Canis lupus familiaris: one gene and its partners. The protein of the gene in region 1 interacts with the protein of each later gene in a pairwise test. Links are inferred from orthologs where the notes say so. Each region holds a gene or a part of one and is shown in the gene's direction. Other genes may lie near its edges. The genes, in order: EGFR, CTNND1, EEF1G, FKBP4, STUB1, GRAP2 and STAT5A.

Region 1 (3,500 bases):
CTGGTCTCCTACACAGGGCTCCTCGCTTTCCTCAGGAGCAGGCTGTGGAAAGGGAGGAGGAGGAGGAAAAGGTTGAGGGAGAAACAGAGACAAGGAGAGAGGAGGAATCTCCAAGTTAAACTTTTGTCATCCTGTGTATGATGTCTCCTCATTCGGTGCTGTCTCAACTAGTCCATTCCCTGTCTTGGTGTCCAGTGAGCTTCCCAAAAATGCAAGTCTCTTTCCTATGGTTTCCATCATTTGCAGACCACAACCGAGCTCAAGGTGTCCAAGTAACCGGACACTTCTTCCAGGCTTCTGCTCCAGCAGTAGCTCCTGGTTCTCAGCACCCATCAGCTGCTTTCTTGCCTTCCTGCTCCTGTTCAGGACTTCCCTCCCTTCAGGGTGAATGACTTTTGCCCAATCACTTGATGGAAACCTATTGATAGCCTTATAGAGTTCTAGCACAGAGTTGGGTGGTTCAAATGATTGTTCAGTAAATGGATAGATCGATGAATCAGTGCATCAACAGGTGGAGGGATAGATGGATGAATGGATAGATGAATCCATGGATGAATGGATAGATGAGTGGGAAGGTGGATGGATGGGTAGGTGCATGGATGCATAGATGAGTGGACAGATGAGTGGATAGATAGTTGGGTGAATAGGTGAATGGACAGATGAATGGATATGGGTGATGGATGGATGAATAGAGAGGTGGAAGGATCGATGGATGCATATGTGCATAGATACATAGACAAGTATACGGATTGATGAGTGAGTAGATAGATGGATAGATGAATGGGTGGATGCATGGGTGGAAAAGATGAACCTATGGTTTTTGAAGCGTATTTGGATATTTGAGAGGTTAGAACATGCTCTCTATTCCCAGGCACAAAAAAAAAATGCAGTGCATATAATAATGATATTAACGTTTATTCAGCCCCCACAATGCCACTGGGGTTAAAGATACTAAATGAACAAGGAACAGGCTTTTCCCTGGAGGAGCTTTAAAAAAAAAACTCTTATAATTTTCAGAAGTTGTGATACAGACTTCCTGCAATATGACTTACAATCAGTGCGAGGCAGTTTGTAGTAAACAGAAGGTGGTCCAGAAAATAAAAATAACGTTTTTAGTGATATAATCTTTTCATAATTTTTAACAACGTTATGTTTCTTCTCCCCGCGACAGTGGCCAGTTTTCTCTGGCGGTCGTCGGCCTGAACATAACGTCCTTGGGATTACGCTCCCTCAAGGAGATAAGCGATGGAGATGTGATCATCTCTGGAAACCGAAAATTGTGCTATGCAAATACAATAAACTGGAAGAAACTCTTTGGGACTTCAAGTCAGAAAACCAAAATTATAAACAACAAAGATGAAAAAGCCTGCAGTAAGTAATCACTCTGGTTGATTGTGGAGATGGTTCACATGGATCATTTCTTTTGATTTAGAATATTCCCAAACAGGGCACCTGGGTGGCTCAGTGGTTGAGCATCCGCCTTTGGCTCGGGTCATGATCCCGGGGTCCTGGGATCGAGTCCTGCATCAGGTTCCCTGCAGGGAGACTGCTTCCCCTCTGCCTGTGTCTCTGCCCCTCTCCCTGTCTCTGTGTCTCTCACGAATAAATAAATAAAATCCTTTAAAAAAATTTATTTTAAAAAGGAATATCCCCAAACATTTAAGTTACATTTTTCATTCCTGAAGAAGCAGATTAAAAGAAATCTGTATATTCCTAAATGTGAAGTTATCGTGTAAAGTTCATTGGAATTGTTTCCAAATCACTCACATGTCATAGGATGGATTTGCCTTGAGATTTAAGCTATCAATTATTTATTTATAATTTACAGAACTGAGTTTTGTATACATTATCTTACCTTTTAGCCTCTGATGAACGTAGCTAGCAACACATACACACACGCACGTGCACACACACACGTGCACACGCGTGCAGGTAGAATGAACATTTACACTGACATTTTCTAGTCTGAGTTTAGAGTCCCAGGCAGCTCTTGAAGCCAGGCGTGCCCGTTACCTGGTCACTGGGAGAAGCAGATCTGAGGTCACACCCTGACTCTAGCCCTTCCCAGCTTCCAGACTGTGGTCAGTTTACTCAGCATGTGTAGGCCTCGGCTTCCTCAGTGATTCTCACTGCTTGGGAGAGAATTAAATGGAATTTTACATGTAAAACTCTTGGCATGGTGCCCAGCACACGGCAAGGCCCACAAACCTTCCCTGTGTTTCCATCAGCTATGACATTCATCCGCAAAATGCTACCCAGCTCCAGGCCAGGAACCCTTGACTCCCCGCAGGGAAGAGGAACTTGTAGTTGGCCTCTGGAAGCCCGTTGTGTGTCATCGCTTCTTCCAGGCCCCCCCACCCCACCCCGCCATGTCCATGCAGCTCAAGGTCACAGAGAGCCCAGCATCCCACTTACAGGAGCGGTCTCAAGTGGCCCCTCCAGTCACTGTGCCATAGCTGACCCCTTGTGTCTCGGTCTGTCTTCTCAGAGGCCATAGGCCACGTCTGCCATCCATTGTGCTCCTCAGAAGGCTGCTGGGGCCCAGGGCCGAGAGACTGCGTGTCCTGCCGAAACGTCAGCCGTGGCAAGGAATGTGTGGAAAAGTGCAACATTCTGGAGGGGTAAGGCTATCTCTTAACCCCTTTTGTTTTCATTAAAAAATAATAATAAGGCGATTGTTTTTATAGGTTTACAGTTACTTCACTTTGAAACTTATCCTTTTGTTTTTTTCCCTTTTTCTTTGGTCTTTATTTCTTGACAACTGTTAATCACAAAAGGAAATGAACAAACTTTTTTCATTACTTAATCCTATCCACTAATTTAGAGAGTCTCTATTTTTGGAAATACCTGATAATTTTCTCAGCCACACAGAGTTCCCAAGACAAATGGAAAAGTCAGAAATGGTTTGTGTGGCCAAGACCACAGCCGTTTAGACTTTTCTTTGGAATTACTCTTCCTGGCATGTCAAAATATCCTAGTATAAATTACATTTCCCGGTTAATTTGTTTCATGTTCAACAAATACCAAACTGTGCAAATAACTTTAAATGTAACCATGGACAAAGAAATAAACAAGCATATAACATAACCATTGTTAAATTTATTTGCCATCAATAGAAAGTCCAATCTGTTGCTTCTGTGGGAATCTTGATACTGATGTCAAGCTTTTTGCATGACCTCAAATAATGACTAAGAATAAATTAATAGGAAAGTAAAATTGAAGGATAGAGAGAGGCAGAGGTGCTTTTTTTTGTTTTTTAATGTAAAGAAAAGGGGAAATTTTGTGAGAGAGAAGAGCCATGGGAATTACAGATGGCTACAGGAACCATCCTTCTTGTTCGCTTTCAGCGCTTGGGCCACAGTACGGATCCAGAAATATTTAGGAACAGGATGAGAAGCCCAAGTCCAACTCTGTAGGAATCCTTTAGCAGGTGCGCTCGGTCACCTAACAGAGTCCTTTGTATAATTGACAGTGTTGCTTCAACAAGTAAGAAATATTGG
Region 2 (3,500 bases), about 33 Mb from region 1:
GATTCTCCTCTCCTATGGGAGCCAGAGGGTGAGATGAGCTCGCAGATAATGGGTCTCTTCCTTCCTGGTGGTTATGAATAAATAATAGTGTGACAGATTCACCCTCTAGTGGTTGCTGGTAGTATTGAAATAGGAAGAATTTTCTTCGGTGAGACTTTTCTTTCTTCCATTGCTTTGTCTCTTGTTTTCTTTCTTAGTCGTTGGGTATCTCAAGTGCTGGGGTGCTCAGTAGCCTCTGTTTTGACAGGATCCGAGGTATTGTTTTTAGAAATTGGAGGCTAGGAACCATATCTCGAACACATTTGTTGAGTGTCAGAGATGACTTTGGGATGAACTGTGAAAATTAATGTTCAAGCTTATACCAAAGCCAAGTTTCCCTACGATATAGCAAGAAGGCCTATACTATTTCTACTCTTTTCACGTCTTTTATAATTTCCAAAATAAGATAAGGAGAGGCTTTAAATAAGAAGTGTGTTTAAGGGTCTAATCCCAGCAGCTGTTTCCTATGTGTAAATGCCTCATTTCCTGTTTAGCTGAAGGCTTGTAAGAACTGTTCTCAGACATTGTTTGCTGACTTCTTGGGTTTAACTCTGTCGTCTGAGGGTTTATTTCAGTCTCTATCCAGAGCGCTTAGCTGTCAGGTATCATTTAACTCAGGATTTGATTCTGTTTTTGTGATTAACATCTCTGAATGCTAATTATTCTCTGAACTAGTAAACTTGACAGGAAAAAAGGTATTTTTAATCTAACTGCAGATGCCTTTGAAATTGTTCCCTTATCCCCTTAAGAAAAATTGATCAGTATATCATTTATGCAAAGGAGAGGTAAGATGTAGTGTACTAGAGCTGAAGTTACTCCTGCCTTGGAGGTAAGGGGTCATAGGAGCTCCCCAGGAAACCAGACTAGACAACTTGATGTATTCTTCTTTTCCCCTCGGTTCCTTCAACACTGCAGGAGCTATGAAGACATGATTGGTGAGGAGGTGCCTTCGGACCAGTACTATTGGGCTCCTCTGGCCCAGCACGAACGGGGAAGTTTAGCAAGCTTGGATAGCCTGCGCAAGGGGGGGCCTCCACCCCCTAACTGGAGACAGCCAGAGCTGCCTGAGGTGATAGCCATGTTAGGATTCCGCTTGGATGCCGTCAAGTCTAACGCAGCTGCATACCTGCAGCACTTGTGCTATCGCAATGACAAGGTGAAGACTGATGTTCGGAAGCTCAAGGGGATCCCAGTACTGGTGGGATTGTTAGACCACCCTAAAAAGGAAGTGCACCTTGGAGCATGTGGAGCTCTCAAGAATATCTCTTTTGGGCGTGACCAGGATAACAAGATTGCCATAAAAAACTGTGATGGTGTTCCTGCCCTTGTGCGATTGCTCCGAAAGGCTCGGGATATGGACCTCACCGAAGTCATCACCGGTGAGTTACTGGCACAAGGGCAGCTGCTGGGTTGGGGTTACCGTGACCCCTAGAGGTGTTGAGAGCTAGAAGGACTTCTGGTCCTTTTACTTTTGACTCAAGGTTGTGAACTGGTGATCTTTGGGCAGAGCTATCTCACTGATTTGTTTGGATCACATAAGGTTTTCACAATTTTAAAGAATTGATTGCTGATGTTTAAGATTCAGAAGATTTCACTTAAAATTCCAGATGTTCCTTCTATTAAAGTGTGAGAACTGGCAACAGTGGATCAGTTTTGCTACCTGACAGTAGCAAAGGTTTGAGCTGTTATGTGTGCTCTCTGGTTTGCAATAATCCTGAACATACTTCGTTATCTTTAGCCAACTACTGCCATATAGCAAGTTGTCCCAAACGCTGAAGCTGGGAGTCTTTTGCCGTTTTTTCACTCTTTTGTCATTTCTTTTAAATATCTGTTTATCTTGACTTACCTGCCTGGCATGTGTAGACACTTGAGCTTGTGGTCCTTGCTTTTAGAAGAGTTGTTTTTCATATTGTGGGTTGTGATCCATTAGTATGTATTGAACACATTTGTGGATCCCGATCAGTATTTCAAGACAAAGCAAGAACGAGAAGTGGTATAGATTAATTCTCAACGAGGACTGATCTTGCCTGCCAGGGGACATTTGCAATGTCTGGAGATGGTTTGGATTGTCATTACTTGGGTTAAGGGGAGGGAGTGCTACTGGTATATAATGAATAAAGGCCACAGATATTGCTAAACATCTAACAATGGACAGGTCAGCTTCCCACAACAAAGAAATATCTGGCCCAAAAGGTCAGCCATGCTGAGTTTGAGAAACTCTGGTATAGATAAACCAGAGAGCGTTGCTTATAGAAAGTATTTTATGAAACTTTATTTCTTGATATACATGTATGTATGTATGTATGTATATGTTGAGCCGTAATGTATATTTCTTATCATGGGTCACAAACAAAAGCTTTGAATATCATTACAAGGTATTTGGTCATTGGGGAAGACTGAGAAATGATGGAATAGGGGATTCTCTTTGGTATTCTTAAAACATACTGTCTTGGGTGTTGAAGTATCTGATGAGTTGTCTCTGCCAGGAACCCTGTGGAATCTCTCATCCCATGACTCAATCAAAATGGAGATTGTGGACCATGCATTGCATGCCTTGACAGATGAAGTGATCATCCCACATTCTGGTTGGGAGCGGGAACCTAATGAAGATTGCAAGCCACGCCATATTGAATGGGAGTCAGTGCTCACCAACACAGCTGGCTGTCTTAGGTAACATAAGGGCTTCGAGAGTATGAAGATTGAATTTTTGAGGACTAATTTAAATTTAAAAAAGAAATTCTTTTTTAATTCTTTAGCCTGTCATTCAGCTTCCATATCTATCTATATTGCACACTATGATTCCAGCCTGTCTTTCTACCTTTGTTACTACTTGCTTGTGTGCCACATACTTTTGATATGTCAGTTTACTTGTTCCCCTACACATCCTCACTTCTGTGTCTCTTTGACTTTGTTCATTTGATTTTTTTTATTAATTAATTAATTAATTATTATTTATTTATGATAGTCACAGAGAGAGAGAGGCAGAGACATAGGCAGAGGGAGAAGCAGGCTACATGCACCAGGAGCCTGATGTGGGATTCGATCCCAGGTCTCCAGGATCGCGCCCTGGGCCAAAGGCAGGCGCCAAACCGCTGCGTCACCCAGGGATCCCGACTTTGTTCATTTGATTTTGTAAACATTTGTTCAATATCTACCACGTGGAAGGCAGTTAGTTGTCTTAGTCCCGAGCTTGTGTGTATCTGTGTCCCTGTCCTCAGTGACCTGTATTTTGAGTAAAGCTGCAATAAATGCAACAAAAGGAGTACAGAGTCCTAGAATGGAGAGGGAGGAAGTTGTGTTCTTCCCTCAGGCCACAGTGCCCTTGTTTGTCTTTTTTTTTTTTTTTTTTTTTAAGATTTTAAGTAATCTCCACCCAACGTGGGGCTTGAACTTAAAACCCTGAGATCAAGAGTCACATGCTCTATCTGAGCCACCCAGGTGCCCCTCCTTATTTATCTTAT
Region 3 (4,119 bases), about 48 Mb from region 1:
CAGCAGCAGACCAAGGACAAAGGTGGAGGCACTGCTGGCACAACAGCATGGCTGGCGATTGAGGCTCAGGTCACCCAGGAGCTGGGAGGACCAACCGGTGCAGCACAGCGGCCAGAGGCTGAGCCACTCCTGACCTTTGTGGCATCTGCCTCCCAGGCTGACCAGACTCTCACCGTGACCCCAATCCAGGATTCTCAAGGCCTGTTCCCTGATCTCCATCATTTCTTACAAGTTTACCTCCCTCAAGCACTTCGAAACCTCCTCAAGTGAAGACAGGGACCCTAATGGGCAATAAAGCTGCTAGTTTAATAAACACTAGAGTTTCCTCTAATTTCCACCTGGTAGTAATCCTTCCACCCACTACTTGCCCTCCCCAGACCTACTGCTCTTCTCAGACATGCCTTTTTTGGCCACCCTAAAATAGGTCTGGGCCTATTTGCTTCTTAGCATTTATCACCACCTGCAGGGAGGCCTAAATGTGGTGTGTTCCTGCACCCGGAGCCCGCTCGGTAGAGTTCTTGAAGGATGGAGTGCCAGGTGGGCGGCTTGGGCAGTACCTGGAACAAGAACCGAGTTTGCCTCCACTTTACCTTACCGCCCAGATTTATATGGTGACGGCCTGAAATCGGGGTTCAGGGTTCTTTGTCCATTCTCTCACTTAACAGAGTTCATCCTGTTCTGATTAAAACGGGGAAAAACACTGTCCGACCTGAGCGTGGGTAAAGGGGTGTCCATCATCGGTGAACTGGCAGCCCTCTGCAGGGTGGCGGGAGGCAGGGATCCGCTGTGTTCTCCCTCGGCCCTTCCCGGCTGCAGGCCCTGCACCAAGGCCCTACCTGCAGCGATTGCATCCCGGAGCCCGCCGGGTGGTTTAAACGGAGGAGACCTCACTTTGGTAGAGGGGTTTCTGACTTGGGCTCCGGTGAGATCATCCTCCTCTCCCGTAGAAAACCAGAGCGGGAACAAACGTACTTAGGCACACAGGACTGGTTTCCGCCCCTAGTGAGAGTCCCCCAGTCCTGACGTTAGGGGCCTGGAAGGATCTCCGTCAAGTCACCGCGGGTTTCCGAGCTGGAGGGGAACGCCCCTGGGACCTGGCACGGCGCGGAGTTGGCAGCCGTGCCACGTCGCCGGGAAGAGGAGGCTTTCCAGCTAGTTCTCGGTTTACCCTCCGCGCCTCGCACCTCCAAGCGGGACTCCCATTGGCCTCCGTCGCCTGCGGGGCGGGCCAGTCAAGAGTCGCGTGGCGCAGGCGCGAGCTGTCCCTGTGACGACCAGCAGGCCCCACCCCCTTCTTTCTGCAATTCAGCCGCGGCGGGGTGTAGAACTGTCGTGCGTATGCCTTCTGTGCCGTCCTCGCTTTGCGGCTGCTGTTCCTCCGCGGCTCTCCCCTCCCCCCTCCTCTCCCCGACGGCTTACTTTGCGGCAGCGCCGAGCGCCCCACCCCCTTTCTCTGCGGAATCACCATGGCGGCCGGGGTAAGTTTGCCGGCTCCGGAGATCCAGGTCGCGGTATCCGACGCCATCCTCTGCCCGAGTGGAGCCCTCCGGCGTCAGAGAAGTTCTGGAGCCGAGCGAGGGACTGGTCCTGGGTCTGGAGACCGTACTGTTGGGAGAGCAAGGCTTCCAGGCCCCGGCGGGGAGCTGAGGCTGGAGCTCTTGGAGGCCAAAGAGGTGGAAGGGTCTGGGGCAGAGCGGCCAGGAGATGTCGGATCCTGGTCTTCTGGGGCCTGAGAAGGGGGTTCGGGTTCACTGCCGCCTCGGGACGTGGGATCCGGGCAGGTTGACAGAACTTTTGCGACCGTTTTGTGGGGGAGCAGCAGGGACGGGGCGCAAAGGAGGGTCTTTGTGGGCAGGCAGGGCGGTCTCCGGGTAAGGGTCGTGCGGCGGGGAGGTGTGGGAGGGAGAGGGCTCTCCGGGCGGCGGAGCCAGACCGTGTGGCCGGTTAACAGAAGGAGAAGCAACGGCAGAACTCACTGCGGGACAGGACCGGAGGGACGAAGGGGACGCAGGACGGGAAGGAACGGCTCTTGGGGGAGACCGAGTTGGTTTAGGAGGAGAGGATGCCATTCGATTTCTCCGTGGCTTTTCGGAGGGGAACTTGGAAATGGTCGTGTGTGTGTGTGTGTGTGTGTGTGTGTGTGTGAGAGAGAGAGACAGACGGGGAGTGATGCTTTCGAAGGGGGTGAGCGGCTCAGTCGTAGAGTAGGCAGGTACTCGTTAGCCATCAATGAATGAACCAGAGCTCTAGGAAGGGAGGAATGTGTCGGCAGGTGGAGTCTGAGGGAACTACGAGTTCTGGGTTTCTCCACGATATATTGGAGGAGACGAGAATGCTTCTGGGGATGTCCTTAGGGAAGGTCAAACCTGTCAGCGCTTTATTTAGCAGTTGGTGTGTAGTTCTGTCTTGGGCATTTCAGCGGACTCTGATTACACATGGCAGATACTAGAGAGCGTGGTTCACCAGGGGGAGTAAAAGTGAGTTGAACAGATTGGGAATAACTCCGGGAATTTATCCCTGGAAGTGACATTTCCGACTGAGAGCCTCGTGCTCATTAACGTTCCCTCCCCTCCTTTCACCCACAGACCCTGTACACATATCCTGAAAACTGGAGGGCCTTCAAGGCTCTCATTGCTGCTCAGTACAGCGGGGCTCAGGTCCGCGTGCTCTCCGCACCACCCCACTTCCACTTCGGCCAAACCAACCGCACCCCTGAATTTCTCCGTAAATTTCCTGCCGGCAAGGTGAGTAGAAAAGTGGAGAGGGGTCTTTGGTCCTGAGAACCCAGGGAGTCCTGAGATGGTCTCAGTCTGAAAATGGTCTCCACCTTTAAAAGGGAATTTTCTGTATAATTTGCTCTTTATATATTTCAGTGATTTAAAATTCCTTTGAGTTAAGTGAAGATTCGCACATAGTTAAAAACGATGCAGAGCTGTTCAGTGGCTTGTTATAAAATTCGCAAGTTTCTTTGTATTTGCGGGAAAGAGAATGGGTTTTGGCTGTTTTCAGCGCAAATATATCGAGTATCTGCCATGAGCCAACCAAAGGGCTTATCGAGGTCGATAAACAACCATGCTAAACAGAGAAGAGATAAATGCAGTTCAGGGAGCACCACAATACTTTCAAGAATACGGAGAGAGATGACACTTGGTTTTTGGTCTTTTGCATATTTGATTGAGGGATTTTATATAAACAGTTGATAATATTTAAATCTTTGCGGTTTCTCATGTGAGTTCACATTGTAAGGGATACCAAGTTACTTAAATTTTATTTCTGGTTCCTAAGTTTCAGATTGTAGTAGTTCATATCAGTAGTTTGCTTAGTAAGGATTGTCAGCCTTATGTAAGAACTTTATCCCAGTATTGGCTGGTGAGTAATTCCTGATTGTTTTACCTAACGTTTTTTTTTTTTTTTTTTTTTTTTTTTAATTTTATCTTTTGACTGTTTTATCCCAGGTTCCAGCATTTGAGGGTGACGATGGATTCTGTGTGTTTGAGAGCAATGCCATTGCCTACTATGGTAATTTGCAGTGGGTGTGGGAATGGGAAGACCAGGAATGAAGGAGGTAGGAGAGGATGAGGGTGAGCTGTAGTGGACAGGAGAAGAATTTTTACGGACTTGGATCGATGTTGGCCTGACCCCAAAGTTCTGACCTTTGTGTTCTGCCTCTGCAGTGAGCAATGAGGAGCTGCGGGGAAATACTCCAGAGGCAGCAGCCCAGGTGGTGCAGTGGGTGAGCTTTGCTGATAGCGACATAGTGCCCCCAGCCAGTACCTGGGTGTTTCCTACCTTGGGCATCATGCACCACAACAAGCAGGTAAGCCTTGGAACTTGGGGAGAAGCCAAGGCCCAGGATGAAATCAGCTCCTGAGTGTCAAGGAGCAAGAAATAAAATAGATTGAGAAAAGGAGATGCTAAGAATTTGTGGATAATAAAAGACCTAATCTTTGGGGTATGAGTTTGGAGCACTGCTGTTGATAGTGTCTGGGTTCTTTGTTACACAGACCCAGTTGGAGGTGGTGCCTGTCATGAGTGGTCAGAGGAGAGATTTCTGTTATAGAAAAGCTATCCCAAATGGTAGGGGAGTGGTTACATCAGGTGACTTCTAAGGTTCCTTCT
Region 4 (4,058 bases), on another chromosome or scaffold:
ACTTATGCAGCCAAAAACTATTTGACTCCACTCACCAGGCACTATGTTAAACTGGGGCTAAGTGCTGAGCAAAATCGACACTCTCTAGATGATTCTTTTTTGTCAAAGGCAAAATCTATCTATTCAGGTAGCTAGGGGCTGCAGAGCTCTGACTTGCCGCACAGCTGCTCTGCACTCACAGGCAGTCGGTAGATACTCGAAAACCAAGTATCAGGCAGAAAATTTTCATTGCCGTGGGTCTTTGGTAAAAAGGAGTGACTGTTTTCGTGACTTGAAACAATTTCCATTTTTAAATATTAATCTAAAGGGTCCTCCTATCATAGCTGGGGAAGGTCCCTTTAATATGCGTCCCATTTAGAGTCCTTAGCTCAGCGGGTCATTTCTTGCAAATCCTGCTCCGACCATTTTAAGCTAAAGGCGGCACGTGTTCCCGGGTCTGGGGAATTCAGGGGTGTTCTCCCAGATTCCGAGCACTGGGGTCGCCGAGCCCCCTTCCCTTCTCTCCCCCCAGCCCTCTAAGCGTCTGTACGCTGAGTGCAGAGATGCGAGGCCGCGCCGCGTGCGCCCGCCGCCGGCTTATAAAAATGCGCGTCTCGTGTGCGGGGAGATCACGTCCGGCTGCGCGGGTCGGGGCACAGCACGCCGCAGGCTGCAACGACGGGGCGGATCTGGGGCGGACCTGGGGCGGACCTGGGGCGGCGGGCACCCTCGGCCTGGGGCTGGTGCAGGGGATCGAGAAGGATCTGGAAGAATCTGGTTAGACCGGGAAACGGGCGGGGGAGGGCCAGGGAAGGGCGCTCGGGTGGGGGTGGGGTGCGGGTGAGCGGGGGAAGCCCCCGCAGTCCGAGGGCCCCAGCGTGGGGAGAGGGAGGCCAGGCGGCCGCAGGGAGGAAAGAACCGGGGGAAAGGGGAAAAAAAAAAAAAAAAAAAAAAAACCCACCCGAAGCCCAAGCCGCGCACATTCACACAGGCACCCCGAGCAGCAGGGCCCGAACTGGCTCGGCGGCCGCCGTCTCCAGAAAGTTCTCCGCCCCCGCCCCCTCCGCCCCTCGCTCCCGCCCCTGCGCCTCCCAGCCCCTCCCTCCGCGGCGGGTGGCACCAATCGCTCCCCGCGGCCGCTCATTACCCACCGACTCCCGCTCCCGCGCCGAACCCGCCGCGGGCCGCGAGCGCGCCGGAGCCAGCGGTGTTGGAGCCCGAGGCCGGTGCGCAGCCGGGCGGCCGCCGCCAGCGCCCTCCCGCCCGCCTCCCCCAGCAGACGGCCCGGCTCCCGGCTCCCGGCGTAAACGGCGCACCGAGCGGCGATGACCGCCGAGGAGATGAAGGCGGCCGAGAGCGGGGCGCAGTCGGCGCCGCTTCCCCTCGAGGGGGTGGATGTCAGCCCCAAGCAGGACGAAGGCGTGCTGAAGGTACGCGGCGGCGGCGCGGGCGGCCGGCCTCCCGCCGAGCCGGGGACCCCCGGGCGCCCCTGCAGCGTCCGCGCGCGCCGTGAGCCGGGCGTGCGCCCGCGGCCCCGTGCATCGCCCTCCCGGCCCGGGCTGCGTTGTCGGGCGGCGGGGTGCGCGGGGGCCTCGGCCGTTCCGCGGCGTCCGGGCCCGACCGCAGCGCCAACTCCGGCGTGCGCGGTGCAGCGCGGAGGGAGGGGCGGGGCCGCCGGTGGCACGCGAGGTGCCGCCAGGGGGCCCGGGCCGGCCCCGACGCCGCCCGCCGCCCCCCGCACCCGGCCCCGGCCCCGCCGCCCCGCCGCCCCGCCGCCAGCTGCAGCCGGGAAGCCCCTGGACGCGTCCGCGGGCGCTGCTGCGAGATCTCGGCTGCCTCGGGCAGTTAAACATGAGCTCGGACCCGGAGCGGCCACCGGACTGATTCTCCTGGCCCAGAGGTTCTGCTGCGACCTGGCCCGGCCCGGGGCCTGGCGCCAGCAGAGCCGGTGGCGCCCTCCGTCCCCCCGGCGGCCCCCTTCCCAGAGGCTGGGACCCAGCGAGGTCACCGGCCCAGCCATGCTGGCCCCCTCCCCCCGCCCCCGCCCCGGGAGGGCCAGCGAGCGGCATGCCGGGACCTGTAGTTCCCCTCCCCCTCGTGAGCCGGGGCCGGGCTGCGGGCCGGGAGGAGGTGCTCTGCTGGGAGCCGCGGAGCCGCGGAGGGAGGGGGCCGGGCCTCGGGGGGCAGGGCATCTTGACCTGGGTCAGGGCGACTTGATGGTGCTTCAGAGCAGGTTCTGTGCAGTACAGGATGGCGAAATCCCAGGCTGGATTTCATGCCTCCTCCTCATGCAGTGTTTCTTTTCATCCTGGCTTCCCACTGCTTAGTTGCGTGAGAGAGAGCGAGAGAGACCTGGGCAAAGCTGGAGACCTCAGGGAACCCATAAACTGGTCCAGAAACGGTCCTGGTTTTGCCCAGATCTCGGAATCTTAAGCTGTTCTCCCAGTGAGCATGTGGCTTTCTCTTCTCTCTCCAGCGTCCTGATGGTTTCTACAAGTTTATTATTCCCAGAAGGGTCCTTTGCCCTTTTCTCTTCCACTCCCTCCCTTTTGTACTCTTCAAGGCTTCTGCCCATTCTGTTATGCAGGCTTTCCCTTAATAGGTAACCACATACGTTCCAGGTGATCCATGGAGTCTCCTTGTCCCCTTATATAAATGCTAAAGAAGAGCAGCAAATCTTCCTGAGAAAGGCTCTAGTTCTCAAAACACTTCACTTGCTTCCCAATCAAGTGAATGCTCCTGTCCTGAGTCTCAGTGCCCCTGTGCCCATCGGTGACCTGGTATTTTCACAGCCTCTTTTGGACTTCTGCGATCCTGTCCATTATTCTATTTCTGTCCACAAACCAGACCCTGATATGATGACCACCAGCATTTAGGAAGAATGAGGAAACCTAGCATAAATGGTTCTCTCTTTTCTACTGATAATAATTTTCAGCTTTTTACCAGTTTAATTCTCCAATCCTGATAGGGACTATTATCACCAGTCTACAAATAAAGTCTAGAAAGCTTGACTTATACAAGATCATAGAGCAAAAACTTGAACTCCGGGTTTCTGTTTTGAGTTTTCTTCTCTCTCTCTTTTTTTTTTTTTTTTTTTACAGATTTTGTTTGTTCATGAAAAATAGAGAGGTGGCAGAGACATAGGCAGAGGGAGAAACAGGCTCCCTGCAGGGAGCTTGATTCTGGACTTGATCCTGGGATCCTAGGATCATGACCTGAGCCTAAGGCAGATGCTCAACCACTGAGCCGCCCAGGCATCCCTGTCTTGAGGTTTTTGGTTTTCTTTTCTAAAAAAAAATTTTTTTTTTAAAAAAATTCATTCATGAGAGACACACAAGAGAGGGGCAGAGACACAGGCAGAGGGAGAAGCAGGCTCCATGCAGGGAGCCTGACGTGGCAGTTGATCCCGGGACTCCAGGATCCCAAGTCCTATTGCACCTCAAGAAAGATGGAGGCAGGGTGTCAGCTGGCTTCTAGCCAGACTTAATGTCACAATCACGGGAGGTTTAGTCCTTTTGCTTACAGTGTGACAGAAGGGTCCCTCTATGTTTGCATCAGAGTCTGTGTGGGCAGTTTAAGTGCCTCATTCAGCCCCCATGCCCCGGGAAAGCCAGCAAGCTTTCCCAGTACTCACCTTCTCTGCCTTCCTCCCAGGTCATCAAGCGAGAGGGCACAGGCACGGAGATGCCCATGATTGGGGACCGAGTCTTTGTCCACTACACTGGCTGGCTGTTAGATGGCACCAAGTTTGACTCCAGTCTGGACCGCAAGGACAAATTCTCCTTTGACCTGGGCAAAGGTAGGCACGGTTAGTGGGTTGGGAGCATCAGCTCTGCGGAGGGTGTAAGCTTTCACAAGCAGAAACCATACTTTCAGAAGCGTAAGGAGGAATGGTTTGTTCAGTCCATGAATTTTTCTCGTTAAACTCGTTTTTTCTTCTCCTCTGCTGGAACCGTGTTGATCTCTCTCTCTCACTCTCTATCTCTCTCTCACCTTCCCTAATCACCTTTGGACGCCTCAGTTCCTCTTCAGGGGTAGATTCCCTGGTTTCTTTCTTTTTTTTTTTTTTTTTTAAATTT
Region 5 (4,213 bases), on another chromosome or scaffold:
CCTCCACCACCCTGATGGGCTCCCCAGGGCCCCATGGGTCAGGGCACTGGTGTGTGTGGGCTGGCTGCCAGGCGAGCCTGCACATCTGCCCTCTGTGAATGTACACCTTGAGACTGCTTCTCCTCCGTAGGGGCAGGTGGCCCTCGCAGCCCACTGAGTCCAGGCCAAGCCTTACATCAGCCCTGGCCACCCCCTCCCAGGCCTGGGGACATAGGACTGCCTGGCCAGGCAGTGGAGGTCCCCAAGTGTGGCCCTAGGGAGACCCTGCCCCTGCCTCTCCCCCACAACTTGCGGTCTGAGCCTTTTTGGAGAATGAATAAATATTTTACACAGCAGGAGGTGGCTGCAGTGGGCTCTGGGGGCTGGCCCCAGGGGCCCGCCCGGCCCTCGCACGGCAGCCCAAGCTCTCCCGGTGCTCCCTGCACCCAAACCAGGCGTGCGCGTGTGGCGGGTGTGCGAGGAGCTGGGGTCCTCACAGGCAGCGGAGACTGCAGCCCAGCCGGTCGCCCGCCCTCCGAGAACCCTGTGGCCCGGGCCCAGCAGGGTTCAGCCAGCCTGGCTTCTCTGCGCTTCTGGGCCGGCGCGGTGTCCTTGCGGGTGGCCAGGCTGGGGCGGGTCCCACGCGGGGAGGGGTCCCGGGCCTGAGGTCCCGCCCGGGCGGGGACAGAGGGGGGCGGGGGCCCGGGCCCAGGCCATGCGGCGCTCGGGCCGGCTCTGCCTGCCGCATGCACCCCGCCTCCCCAGGGCCGCGGGCGGCGGGCGCGCGGCGGCCTCGGAGCTCCTGCAGCCGGGGCTCGAGCCTCGCCAGCGTCTGGGCAGGCGGCTCCCGCGCACCCCCGGGGTCACGGCCACGGGCCCCCCGGCAGGCGACGACACTCACCGGCCGGGCCGAGGTGGGCTGGGCGGGGTGGGTGGGGGAACCTCACCCGGAGCCCCGCCCCCCGCTTCCACGCCGGCGGCCACGTGCTCCTCCGCTCCGCCCCCGGTGGCCGCGGGGAGCCCTCTGGGGCCTGGGGAGGGCGGCGACGGAGCCTCGGGCAGCGGGGTTCGGCCGTCCTGCCACCGCTCCAGAGCTTCCAGCCGTCCCTGGCGGCCGCGGCACCTCCCCGTGCGGCGCCAGGACCGCAGCCCCGCGGCCCTCAAGGCCCCACGGCCGCGCAGCCAGCCGGCGGCCGCCTAGTCCGCGCGGGGCGGGGCCTCGGCGGGGCGGGGCCTAGGCGGGGCGGGGCCTCGGCGGGGCGGGGCCGCGCTTGTCGCTGTCCCGGACGTCCGACGTCGCGGGTCGCGTTCCCTCGAGCGCATGCGCCCAGTCGGTCCCGCCCCCCCTTGCCTCCGCGGCCCGTCGGACGCAGGCGCGCCCCCGCCCGTGCCGCTGGCCCCGCCCCGCGCGGCCGGAAGTTCCGGTGGCGGATCGCTGGACCGGGCCCGAGCGGATCGCGGGCTCGGGCTGCGGGCTCGGGCTGCGGGCGCAGGGCGGGCCAGACGCGGAGCCTGGGAGCGAAGCCCGGGCTGTGCCGCGCGGCGCTATGAAGGGCAAGGAGGAGAAGGAGGGCGGCGCGCGGCTGGGCGCCGGCGGCGGAAGCCCCGAAAAGAGCCCGAGCGCGCAGGAGCTCAAGGAGCAGGGCAACCGGCTCTTCGTGGGCCGCAAGTACCCGGAGGCGGCGGCCTGCTACGGCCGCGCCATCGTGAGTGCGCCCGCGCCGGGGGAGGGGGCCGGCGTCCGGGCGGGGGAGTGGGCGGGGCCCGGCTCGCGGCCCCGCGTCCTCCCCGGAGCCCCTGCCCCGCCGCTCCCGCCGGACCCTCGGGGCGGTCTTGGTTCGCCCGCGGGGGCGTTTGGGCCCCGAGAACTCGGTGCTGATCATGTTCCAGTCGAGCCAAGGCCGCGCGGTTCTCGAGCCAGTGCTGGTTGCTGGAGGGGCGGGTGGGAGCTTGAGGGGTGCTCGAGGCCCCAGGCCGGGACCAGGGTTCCTGTCCCTTGAGAAGCCCAGGCCCGAAGCTGGGGCTCTCCTCAGGTCCGGGAACCTCACCTTTACAAAACCTCCTGGGAGCCCCGAGAGGGTGGGCTAGCGCAGGCCTGAGGACCGGGAGTTCACTCTACAGCCCTAGCTGAGCAGAGGCTTCCAAGCTGAGAAATTTCTAGTGTCTGGATTTTAGCTACGGGCTCCCAGACCAGGACAGGGCCTAGGACAGGGCCCACGGAGCTTTTTCCCTCATGCTGGCTGGCCTGGCCTTGGTCCCCAGACCCGGAATCCTCTGGTGGCCGTGTACTACACCAACCGGGCGTTGTGCTATCTGAAGATGCAGCAGCATGAGCAGGCCCTGGCTGACTGCCGGCGGGCTCTGGAACTGGACGGGCAGTCTGTGAAGGCACACTTCTTCCTGGGGCAGTGCCAGCTAGAGATGGAGAGCTATGATGAGGCCATCGCCAACCTGCAGCGAGGTGGGCCTACAGGTTGTCAGGGGACGGCGGGGGCGCCTGGGACCAGGTGGATGGACTGGCCAGAAGGTGACCTGAAGCCCCTGTTCCCCCAGCCTACAACCTTGCCAAGGAGCAGCGGCTCAACTTCGGGGATGATATCCCTAGTGCTCTGCGCATCGCCAAGAAGAAGCGTTGGAACAGCATCGAGGAGCGGCGCATCCACCAGGAGAATGAGCTGCACTCCTACCTCACTCGGCTTATTGTGGCCGAGCGGGAGAGGTGGGCTGTGGTAGCGGCAGGCTCCAGGGCCCCACCCACCCCCAAGGCAGCACTCTGGGGTTAACTGAGTCAAGAACACAAGTGTTTATTGAAGGCCAGCACTGGCGAGCAGTTGGAGGGAAGAGAGACCTGAACAAGCCTGAGGTTGGGGTGGAGTGTGATCTCTTCTGGCCAGACCCATTCCTGACTAGCTCCTGGTCGACCCCCAGGGAGCTAGAAGAATGCCAGCGGAACCACGAGGGTGATGAGGATGATGGCCACGTCCGGGCCCAGCAGGCCTGCATCGAGGCCAAGCACGTGAGGGTGCCCCAGCCCACGTGTGGATGTGTGCGTGTTTGCGTGCCTGTGACTGGAGGGTGCCCGGGGGAGGGGGAAGGGGCATTTGGCCCACGCGTAGCTGCTTGGTTCTCCGCAGGACAAGTACTTAGCAGACATGGATGAGCTTTTCTCCCAGGTGGACGAGAAGAGAAAGGTAAGCTGTCTGTCCTCTGGGTAGCAGGAATCGGAGCCGGGTCCCCATCCTGGTGCCTGACCTGACTCCATGTGCCACAGAAGCGAGACATCCCGGACTACCTGTGTGGCAAGATCAGCTTCGAGCTTATGCGGGAGCCGTGCATCACGCCTAGTGGCATCACCTACGACCGCAAGGACATTGAGGAACACCTGCAGGTGAGAGCCAACAAGAGTGGGGAGCAGGGCCCGTAACCACTGAGCACTTTCTGACCTGCTGTCACTGCACACTGCAGCGTGTGGGCCACTTTGACCCTGTCACCCGGAGCCCCCTGACCCAGGAACAGCTCATCCCCAACCTGGCCATGAAAGAGGTCATTGATGCATTCATCTCCGAGAACGGCTGGGTGGAGGACTACTGAGGCCAGGCGAGTGCCAGAGCTGCCTGCCTTGCCTAGTACCCTGGCCCAGGTGGGCTTTGGGGCAGTAGCTCCCAGTTCCTGTACATAGTTTGTGTCCCTAGATCCCTGCCCTGGTGTCCCTTATCCCACCCTCATCAGTTCTGCTGCTGGACCATGAGCCCCACCTCCACCCCCTTCTGGGCCAGAAACAGCAGGTGAGGGTGGGCTGCTGCCACCACTGTCCTGTAATAAAACCTGTGAGCACTATAGGGGTGTGTGCTGGTGTGTGCTGGGCTCACCAGCCGCCCACTCTACCTAGCCGAGGAAAGTAGAGATAAAAACACTGGTGTCCAGGTTGAGCGTAGCATGCCACCACCGGTCAGGGAAATACAGCACCTGGTGGAGGGTGGGGCACAAGGATTAGCTGGTGGCGTGTGATCCAGCCTGACCCCTTCCTGCCACCTACTGACCTCACCAGCCTGCACGGTGCACTCCAGGGGCCTCTCAGATGGTGCCAGGGTTGGGTACACGTCCTGAAGCCAGGCCAGTGTGGTTTTGTTGGGGTGGAACTCAGGTGTCTTCTCAGGGGGATACAGGAACCAGCGCTGAGGGTGAGATCAGCCCGTCACTCCATGTTGGCAGGCAGTAAGCCCCAAGCCGCAGC
Region 6 (4,255 bases), on another chromosome or scaffold:
ACAGTGAGAATTTATTGCTTTAGGGGTTTTTGTGTGTGTGTGTTTTAAAGGTTTTATTTATTTATTTGAGAAAGAGAGCACAGAGGGAGAGGAAGAGGGAGAGGGAGAAGCGGAGAAGCAGACTCCCCACTGAGCAGAGCCGAATGTGGCTGGATCCCAGTACCCCCAAGATTATGACCTGAGCGGAGGGCAGATGCTTAACTGACTAAGCCACCCAGGTGCCCCAAGATATTTATTGTTCTGAAGTCAATAACCACTCTGTTAACTTTAAAATTCTATCTTTGCAACATGTGAAAATAGTGGGGACCCTGTTCAGACACAACTTGGATTTAAGAAAATGTAACGAACTTGTATTAACAAAAAGAAAAACCTTCATTAAGGAATCAGGAGTAGCAAATTCCTTCCTTTAACTCATTCAATAAATATTTATTGAGCACCTCCTGTGACCAAAGTACTCTGTTGATTCCAAACCGGATTCTTCTTTTGTATTTCAATAAAAGTGTTGAGCAATTATCACCAAGGAGTGACACCCCCTCACCCCCCCCCCAAGAAAGGACATTTCGAAGATTTAGGTATAAAGGGGGTGAAAAGATTTTTTAGAAAGGATATCATCTTATGATGTAGAATGACTTTAAATTTTAGAACTCCAAACTGAGTTTTATATGATATCCTCCTTCTGAGCCTTCAAGGGATAAATACTGGGAACATCCTGTCAACCAGCATTTCCCTCTTTCTCTTGGGCCCAAACTCTGACTGGTGCCACTAAGCAAGCAGCAATGTCTCTTACTTTGTGCAAAAGATGCATCGTTGGCAATCCATTGCTAGTGAGAGCAAAGAGAGGAAGAGGCCTTCACAAGTTGCACTTGGTATGGGAACCTAAAGGGGAGTAGGGTTTTTCACAAATTTGAAGGTAAAAACTAAAGAAGTTGATGGTGTCAAGAACCTTGAGTCAGTGAAAACTCTTTAAATTCCAGAAATCCTTTAGCCCAACCAACTTAGGAGAAAGAGAAATCCCCCAAATCTAAGGAACCCGTCCCAGTTCATGCCTGATTGGCAAAACTGGTGTTAGAACTCCTCCTGGCTCAGAGCTTTTCTTCTTGTGTTTTCCGTTAAGGGTAATGTTATGGACTAAGAGTAATATTATGGCCTGAGGTTACTGAGAAAGCATATCCTCTGGGATTTTAGCTTTGTGAGTGATTCCAGGGTGGTTTTATATAAATTCCCCGAAGTGAAGAAGCCCTATTTTTTTTCCTCTGGATTCTTGGATGTAATAAGGGAAAATCAGAGTTTTCCTTCAGAGCAGCAACAGCTTGTTGATGGATCACCTCTAGGATTAGAAATTTTCTTATGGGAACATAATCATTCGGGGGGGGGAAATTGTTAAAATTGAAACCAAGCATCAAGAAGCAAAAGTGTTTCAGAGAACCTCCTGCATTTTAGTTCAACTCTGGCAGCAAGAAAACAAAACCACATAATCTAAGGCTCACGCCCAACTCTCTGAAGCCCTGTATCTGCTAGTTCCTGTGTGGTTTGCCTACAGACTGCAGGGCTGACTGGGGGTAGTTTGGAGGAGGGAGTAAGAAGTAAGGCAGGAGGAGGCATTATTAATGGATCTGTGAACTTGAACCCTGTTTTAGTATGATCCTTGGAAGATAGCACATGGTGGATCTGTACTCTGAAATGCAATAATTTTGATATTTTATTTCATCTTCCTTCTTGCAAGAGAAGATACTATTAATTTGGTGTCAAAGCCAAGACATAGACTCGACCTCCTCTCTTCAAAAAGGTATGTCATTACACAACGTCGGGCCATATACTCTAGAGATCTTGAATAGTTTTGTAACTTGCAGGATGTTCTCTATAAGTCAAATCTAATTAAAATGAATCCCATGGGTTCTCTAAATATTGCTTTTTTATATTTTGGTCCATCCACAAAGGTCTGTATGTCTTTTGCTGTAACAATGCTTGGTGTGATGGGATTCAACTTCCAGCAGAAGAACTTGTTCCTTATCCAGTCTAGCACACAAAATTCTCCACTAATTGGCCTCTGAGCCATCCCAGGGAGACTTTAGACCCATTACAGAGGTGAAATCCCACCTCTCCATGTCGGCACTGAAATCCAATTGAAGGCGGGAATGAAGGTCTGGGCAGCAATGAATGAACATTGGCACTGTAGGGTCAGGATGGCTCTTTTACATACGTTTCTAGTTCTGTCAGTATTTATCGTACCTTTACAGAGAATACCACTTTGGATCTCTTTACAAAAAGAAAACTTTATGTTGAAATAGGTTTTGAGAGAGTATTGTCTATCTTTATCTCTTTATTGATAATTAGTGCCAGGTCCCTAAGATGGTGCCCAATTCAGGCATTGAGCTGAAGACAGCTCCTTTGTGCTCTTTGCCCCAACTACTCCTGAATATGGGGGTTGAGTATACCCACGAAGGATTTCACTAAATTAAAAATACCATGTTTACATACCTGGAATGGGTCCTTGTTAATAAGGTATGAGTAACTTAATCTGCACATTACTGAAAATATTCAGCCCCACATAAATTAAGAGGGAAATGTTTAGGATCTAAAATTCTGTTTCTGAAGGGGTTGCATGTGCTCATGTTATGTCATCTGAGGGTGGAAACCTCAGGTTGAAGCATCTTTTGTTCTATACAACTGCATTTATCATAGACTGAGCGGTTCTTCAGTGGGGGTCCTCCATTTTTTCTTATTTTTGGTTTCAGAAAGAACGTTTAGTGTAAGTAGACTCTGCTTTAACAACCCAGTATTGTTTATAAAACTTCATGTTTATAATGTAATTTTAAGGAAAACCTCTACAAAACCCACTGTTAAATAAAGAACACTGTAAATACAGAACCATTGAAGTGCATTTAAATTTCAAGTTTTAAAAACTATGATTTGTACTCTTTTTGAGAACTTTGTTTTTTGTAAAGAGAGGCCTGTATTGTTGAATAAGATCAGACTTGGAGTGTCTCCCATAAATTATAGGCTTATTTTCCCTAATATATTACTTATTTTATTATTATTATTTTTTACTTATTTTATTTTTTAAAATGACTTTACTGAAGCAGAAGGGAGGAACACTATCGATTTGTTCAGTATCGATTTAAGTAATAATTCTATTGCTACTAAGATATCCTTCTGAATATCTCTCACATCTTATGTCCTGATGAAAATCCCTTTTGTTCTGTTAGTTCAGTTGTTCTATGTCTACTTCACAGAGATACTATGAGAATAAATGAGCTCACACAGATACGAAGTGCCTTAGGAAAAAAAGCACTCTAAAAATGCAAACTTGTATCATTAATTATTGCTTTGAATTGATCATTTTTTTTCCACTTTTATACAAAATATACCTCATCTCTCTTAGAACCATTGCCTTCTGGAAGAGTTGAAAATGATCCCCGATTCCCACAAATGTATTGGTTCTCAGAGTATAATAACACCTGCTGATGCTGGTGCCTTACAGCACTCACGCCTGAACTTGAGCAGGACTTGCCTCTTTTCCTGGATCAAGAAAAATCTACAGTTGTTCAAAATGTGTCATCAAGTGTGATTCCATGAGGAATTCTTAAATAAGTAACAGTTGCTGCTGGATTAGTCTTAGGGCCGGATTCTTCATTTTCATCCTGTCCTAAAAATTCAAAATGTGGTTAAGAATCTTTGTGACCTAAGTTATTTGAATCACAAGATGGGGTTGCTTCACCCCCATTTTGTCCATCTCAAGTATTTGCTAAAGCATATCTTCTTGATCTGCAAAGGAAGAATAGTCTCCTTTCTTTCTTTCTTTCTTTCTTTCTTTCTTTCTTTCTTTCTTTCTTTCTTTCCTTCCTTCTTTCTTTCTTCTTTCTTTCTTTCTGCCTGCAACTTTAAAATTCTCAGGAACAAAATAAATTTAACACATAAGCATTTACAAACATTTATTGGGCGTTCACTATGTATCAGGCCCTATATTAACATGGAGCACTCTTCAATGTTACTATCAGGTTTCAGTAAGGTTGAGCAAATAGAAATTCAGTAAGTGATTTTTAAAAATTTCTTTTTAAATATGCATTCACAAACATTATAGAGAATTGAAAGAAACTATTACTAAGTACATGAAGATAAAAGTCTCACATGCTCTCCGAAGAAGATATAAGACATTTTATGAAGAAAGTGAAGAAAAAGTCCAAACGAAAAAGTTTAAAGTATTAGTACAACGAATACCTCTACCTTACCTGCTAGACTCACCAACTGCTATCTT
Region 7 (2,968 bases), on another chromosome or scaffold:
ACCTACATGGACCAGGCCCCCTCCCCGGCCGTGTGCCCCCAGGCTCATTATAACATGTACCCACAAAAGTAGGTTGTGTTCTCACGGGGCTTCTCGGGGAGGACCTGGGCACCTGGCCTCAGGCTGGGCCCCCAGAGGGCTGGTGGGCAAAGGGACCCAGAGCTCCTGTAGGTCTAAGACCACCCAGGCTGGGCTCTAGCATGTACCCAGGTGCAGGGAGGGGGATCAGTCAGTAAAAAGTGTAGAGCATGGGCTACACATAGCAGGCTCCTTGCTCTGAGGCTGACTAGCTATGTGGCCTTGGGAAAATTATTGAGCCTCCCAGATGCTCAGTTTCCTCATCTGTAAAATAAAGGCAAGAATACCTACCACATGGGATTGGGGGCAGGACTGAGAGAGTACAGGTAAAAGCATTTAGCTCAGGTGAAGCTGTTGTTCTTAAGAGTTGGGTGGAAACAAGGTATCAATTGCTTTCCTCTGGAGTTTCCAGGGCAGAGAAATAATTCTCTTCTGAGCCATGGGTGGCCCCAGCTGGATGTGTCTGGGTGCCTGGGAGGCACAAGCTACAGTGGGATGACCATGGGTTACAAGTCACAAAGACCAGTCCTGAATCAATTTGCCAGCCAGGTGGCCCTGCGCAAGTTTCCAAATTGAGCCTCAGTTTTCCCCTCTGTAAAGTGGAGTAAATACCTACCTAACAGGTGGCTAAGGTGACATGACACCTGATGTAGGTGTTCAGAAGGAGCCCAGGATAGAGCGGAATAGCATTGCAGTGGGCCAAACTCACTGGCCCAACCGCCCCGTTTTGCAGAGGATGACAGAGACAGGGGCAGGGAGAGGAACTCTCTGAATCCACTGAAGAAGGCAGTGAGAGTTGAGACTAGAACTTGAGTATCTCCCAATGAGCCAACAACTGACGTTTTCAATTTGGGGTTAGGGAGGCGTCCAGGCAGAGCCAGTCGTGTTCCCATGAGACTGTAGTCTGAGTGCGGAGGGGGCCGGAGGCACACCAGCTCCCTCTGACCTCCCTCACCCTCTCCCTCCCAGCCCTGACTCCGTCCTTGACCAGGATGGAGAATTTGACCTGGACGAGACCATGGACGTAGCCCGGCATGTGGAGGAACTCTTACGCCGCCCAATGGACAGTCTGGACCCCCGCCTCTCCCCACCTGCTGGTCTTTTCACTGCGGCCCGAGGCTCCCTCTCATGAATGCTTGAATCCCAGGCTTCTCTTTGGAAACAACACTCAGTGTGAAGGGGTCATGTTAATTGTGATTTTAGTGTTGCTGTGCATATATTGGTGCCTCTGCTGGCAGCACATGTCCACACGTACGTGTGTGTGTGCATGTGTGTGCGTGCGGACACACAAGATGTGCCTGTCTTGCCTTTGTCCTCCTGGGACAGCAGCCACCCTCTTGCTTTTCAGATCAGGGCATCCCAAGAGCACTTGGGGCCTGTATCTGTTGTAGAAGGGGCCGCTTTTGCTGCTATTGCAGGCACGCAATGCAGGCAAACCTATTCCTGCAGGGGCCTTTACTGCCTAGCACTTGTTTGAATGAAATTATTCAAGAAGGGCCCCGGAGGCAGGTCATGTCTCTAAGCTTAAGTCGTACTCCTGAGTTAGAAGCTTTGACTCCCAAAGCTTGTACATGTGCATTTATGTATGTGCATCTGCTCTCAACGTGTGTTGGTCTATTGATTCTTCCCTTCGGGAGGGAGGCCAGGGGTTCAATTTTGAGTAATATTTTATAGTTTAATGACTATGGACTTGTGACTTTTGTGAACCAAGTGCTTATCCAGGCCGTGGCCCTAATACAGCAGAAATGGGTCACTGGAGTCGGGTCTGTCAGGGCTGCTGTAAGCATGTAGTTTCTTGGCCTCCTGGCCTCCACCAGGGTACTTGGGCTTCACATCTGTGGTGCTGTTGCCCAGTCCTGTTCTCTTTCCAACTCTCTCCCCTTCCCTCCATCCGGCCTCAGCCACCTTTCCCTGACGCTCTGCAACCTTGCTCCCAGGAGAGGTAGGACACGGCCAGGAACAGGTCTAGGACATGGTGGGTGAACAGAGGGCCCGGGACTTCAGTGTTGATTCCCTCCCCTCCTGGAAGAAAAAACCCTGCAGTAAGAGACAGCATCAATTATAGCTGCTTGCCGCAGGCCTGTGCAATCTGGAGCGAGGGGTAAAAGCCTGTCTCTGTCCACTCTGCTGGGGGGTACACCTGGAACAGGCCTCATCACCATTGCATAACGCTGAGGTCTGAGAAAGCCTGGCTCCCAGCCTCATGCGCCCCTCCTTCTGAGGCTATGAGACATGCAGTGGGGGGCCGCTGTTGGCAGAAGGTGGGGAGTCTCAGGTCTAAACATCCCTGAAGGAAGGTGGGGACAAGGAGAGGGATTCTTGTGTACTTTGTACATAGGCCACACATTTGTGTAAACAGTGTTTTTGAATAAAGTATTTTTTTTTTCATATGTTTGGTGGTGCGGCTCCTGGTTGGGCAGCCCCCGCCCCTGCCCCGCCTGCTCCTTGGGAATGGGGATCCCTGGCACTGGGGCTGCATTGCCCTTCCCTCCTGTGTGCCTGATGCTGTAATTGTTTCTAAAGCTACAACTCTGCTCCCTTTTCCGTGTGTTGAGGATGCTGTCCAGCCCCGGGTCGCTGTCAGTGCGCTGCTCAGACGACGGAACGAGTAGCGCTTGAGGCCTTGGGGAAAGGTGGGGCGGGAATTCCGGGGTAGGGGCCGGGAGCGGGAAGAACGGGGTCCGGGGGTCCCGGCCTCTCCGCATCAGTCGCCGCTCCAAGCGATCGTGCAGCCCGCCCTTGGCGGAGGGCCGGGGCCGGGCCGGGGCGGCAGCGCCTCCCCACCAGTCCCTCCTCCCGAGGCCTCTCCCCGGACGCCAGCAGGTGGCACCATCCCGCTGCCACCAGCCCGTTCGAAGGGCCGGCGGGCCGGTGACCCGCAGGGAAGCTG

What was found.
Region 2: the proteins of EGFR (region 1) and CTNND1 interact in binary tests that used the Homo sapiens proteins (3 or more experiments, as listed by UniProt). The link is inferred for Canis lupus familiaris from reciprocal best matches to the Homo sapiens genes EGFR and CTNND1.
Region 3: the proteins of EGFR (region 1) and EEF1G interact in a protein complementation assay, tested with the Homo sapiens proteins (2 studies listed by BioGRID and IntAct). The link is inferred for Canis lupus familiaris from reciprocal best matches to the Homo sapiens genes EGFR and EEF1G.
Region 4: the proteins of EGFR (region 1) and FKBP4 interact in a protein complementation assay, tested with the Homo sapiens proteins (2 studies listed by BioGRID and IntAct). The link is inferred for Canis lupus familiaris from reciprocal best matches to the Homo sapiens genes EGFR and FKBP4.
Region 5: the proteins of EGFR (region 1) and STUB1 interact in binary tests that used the Homo sapiens proteins (3 or more experiments, as listed by UniProt). The link is inferred for Canis lupus familiaris from reciprocal best matches to the Homo sapiens genes EGFR and STUB1.
Region 6: the proteins of EGFR (region 1) and GRAP2 interact in binary tests that used the Homo sapiens proteins (3 or more experiments, as listed by UniProt). The link is inferred for Canis lupus familiaris from reciprocal best matches to the Homo sapiens genes EGFR and GRAP2.
Region 7: the proteins of EGFR (region 1) and STAT5A interact in binary tests that used the Homo sapiens proteins (3 or more experiments, as listed by UniProt). The link is inferred for Canis lupus familiaris from reciprocal best matches to the Homo sapiens genes EGFR and STAT5A.

What each region holds. Positions count from the first base shown.
Region 1 is NC_049239.1:6,117,845-6,121,344, forward strand, and holds part of EGFR (epidermal growth factor receptor), read left to right. Parts: intron 1-1,171; coding exon 1,172-1,371; intron 1,372-2,488; coding exon 2,489-2,621; intron 2,622-3,500. UniProt on the Homo sapiens protein: Receptor tyrosine kinase binding ligands of the EGF family and activating several signaling cascades to convert extracellular cues into appropriate cellular responses.
Region 2 is NC_049239.1:38,896,995-38,900,494, reverse strand, and holds part of CTNND1 (catenin delta-1), read left to right. Parts: intron 1-954; coding exon 955-1,418; intron 1,419-2,525; coding exon 2,526-2,709; intron 2,710-3,500. UniProt on the Homo sapiens protein: Key regulator of cell-cell adhesion that associates with and regulates the cell adhesion properties of both C-, E- and N-cadherins, being critical for their surface stability.
Region 3 is NC_049239.1:54,579,813-54,583,931, forward strand, and holds the start of EEF1G (elongation factor 1-gamma), read left to right. Parts: upstream 1-1,319; 5' UTR 1,320-1,466; coding exon 1,467-1,478; intron 1,479-2,585; coding exon 2,586-2,744; intron 2,745-3,455; coding exon 3,456-3,519; intron 3,520-3,674; coding exon 3,675-3,817; intron 3,818-4,119. Other genes in the region: TUT1 (speckle targeted PIP5K1A-regulated poly(A) polymerase), read left to right, coding at 1-270. UniProt on the Homo sapiens protein: Probably plays a role in anchoring the complex to other cellular components.
Region 4 is NC_049248.1:4,083,597-4,087,654, forward strand, and holds the start of FKBP4 (peptidyl-prolyl cis-trans isomerase FKBP4), read left to right. Parts: upstream 1-1,258; 5' UTR 1,259-1,304; coding exon 1,305-1,409; intron 1,410-1,753; exon of another isoform or gene 1,754-1,879; intron 1,880-3,633; coding exon 3,634-3,778; intron 3,779-4,058. UniProt on the Homo sapiens protein: Immunophilin protein with PPIase and co-chaperone activities. Component of steroid receptors heterocomplexes through interaction with heat-shock protein 90 (HSP90).
Region 5 is NC_049227.1:40,363,663-40,367,875, reverse strand, and holds STUB1 (E3 ubiquitin-protein ligase CHIP), read left to right. Parts: upstream 1-1,413; 5' UTR 1,414-1,526; coding exon 1,527-1,685; intron 1,686-2,241; coding exon 2,242-2,440; intron 2,441-2,532; coding exon 2,533-2,698; intron 2,699-2,758; exon of another isoform or gene 2,759-2,907; coding exon 2,908-2,995; exon of another isoform or gene 2,996-3,113; coding exon 3,114-3,170; exon of another isoform or gene 3,171-3,250; coding exon 3,251-3,367; intron 3,368-3,444; coding exon 3,445-3,570; 3' UTR 3,571-3,818; downstream 3,819-4,213. Other genes in the region: RHBDL1 (rhomboid-related protein 1), read left to right, coding at 1-15; JMJD8 (jmjC domain-containing protein 8), read right to left, coding at 3,865-3,945, 4,020-4,154. UniProt on the Homo sapiens protein: E3 ubiquitin-protein ligase which targets misfolded chaperone substrates towards proteasomal degradation.
Region 6 is NC_049231.1:26,178,260-26,182,514, reverse strand, and holds the start of GRAP2 (GRB2-related adapter protein 2), read left to right. Parts: upstream 1-1,455; 5' UTR 1,456-1,786; intron 1,787-4,255. UniProt on the Homo sapiens protein: Interacts with SLP-76 to regulate NF-AT activation. Binds to tyrosine-phosphorylated shc.
Region 7 is NC_049230.1:20,489,911-20,492,878, reverse strand, and holds the end of STAT5A (signal transducer and activator of transcription 5A), read left to right. Parts: coding exon 1-68; intron 69-1,047; coding exon 1,048-1,210; 3' UTR 1,211-2,468; downstream 2,469-2,968. UniProt on the Homo sapiens protein: Carries out a dual function: signal transduction and activation of transcription. Mediates cellular responses to the cytokine KITLG/SCF and other growth factors. Mediates cellular responses to ERBB4.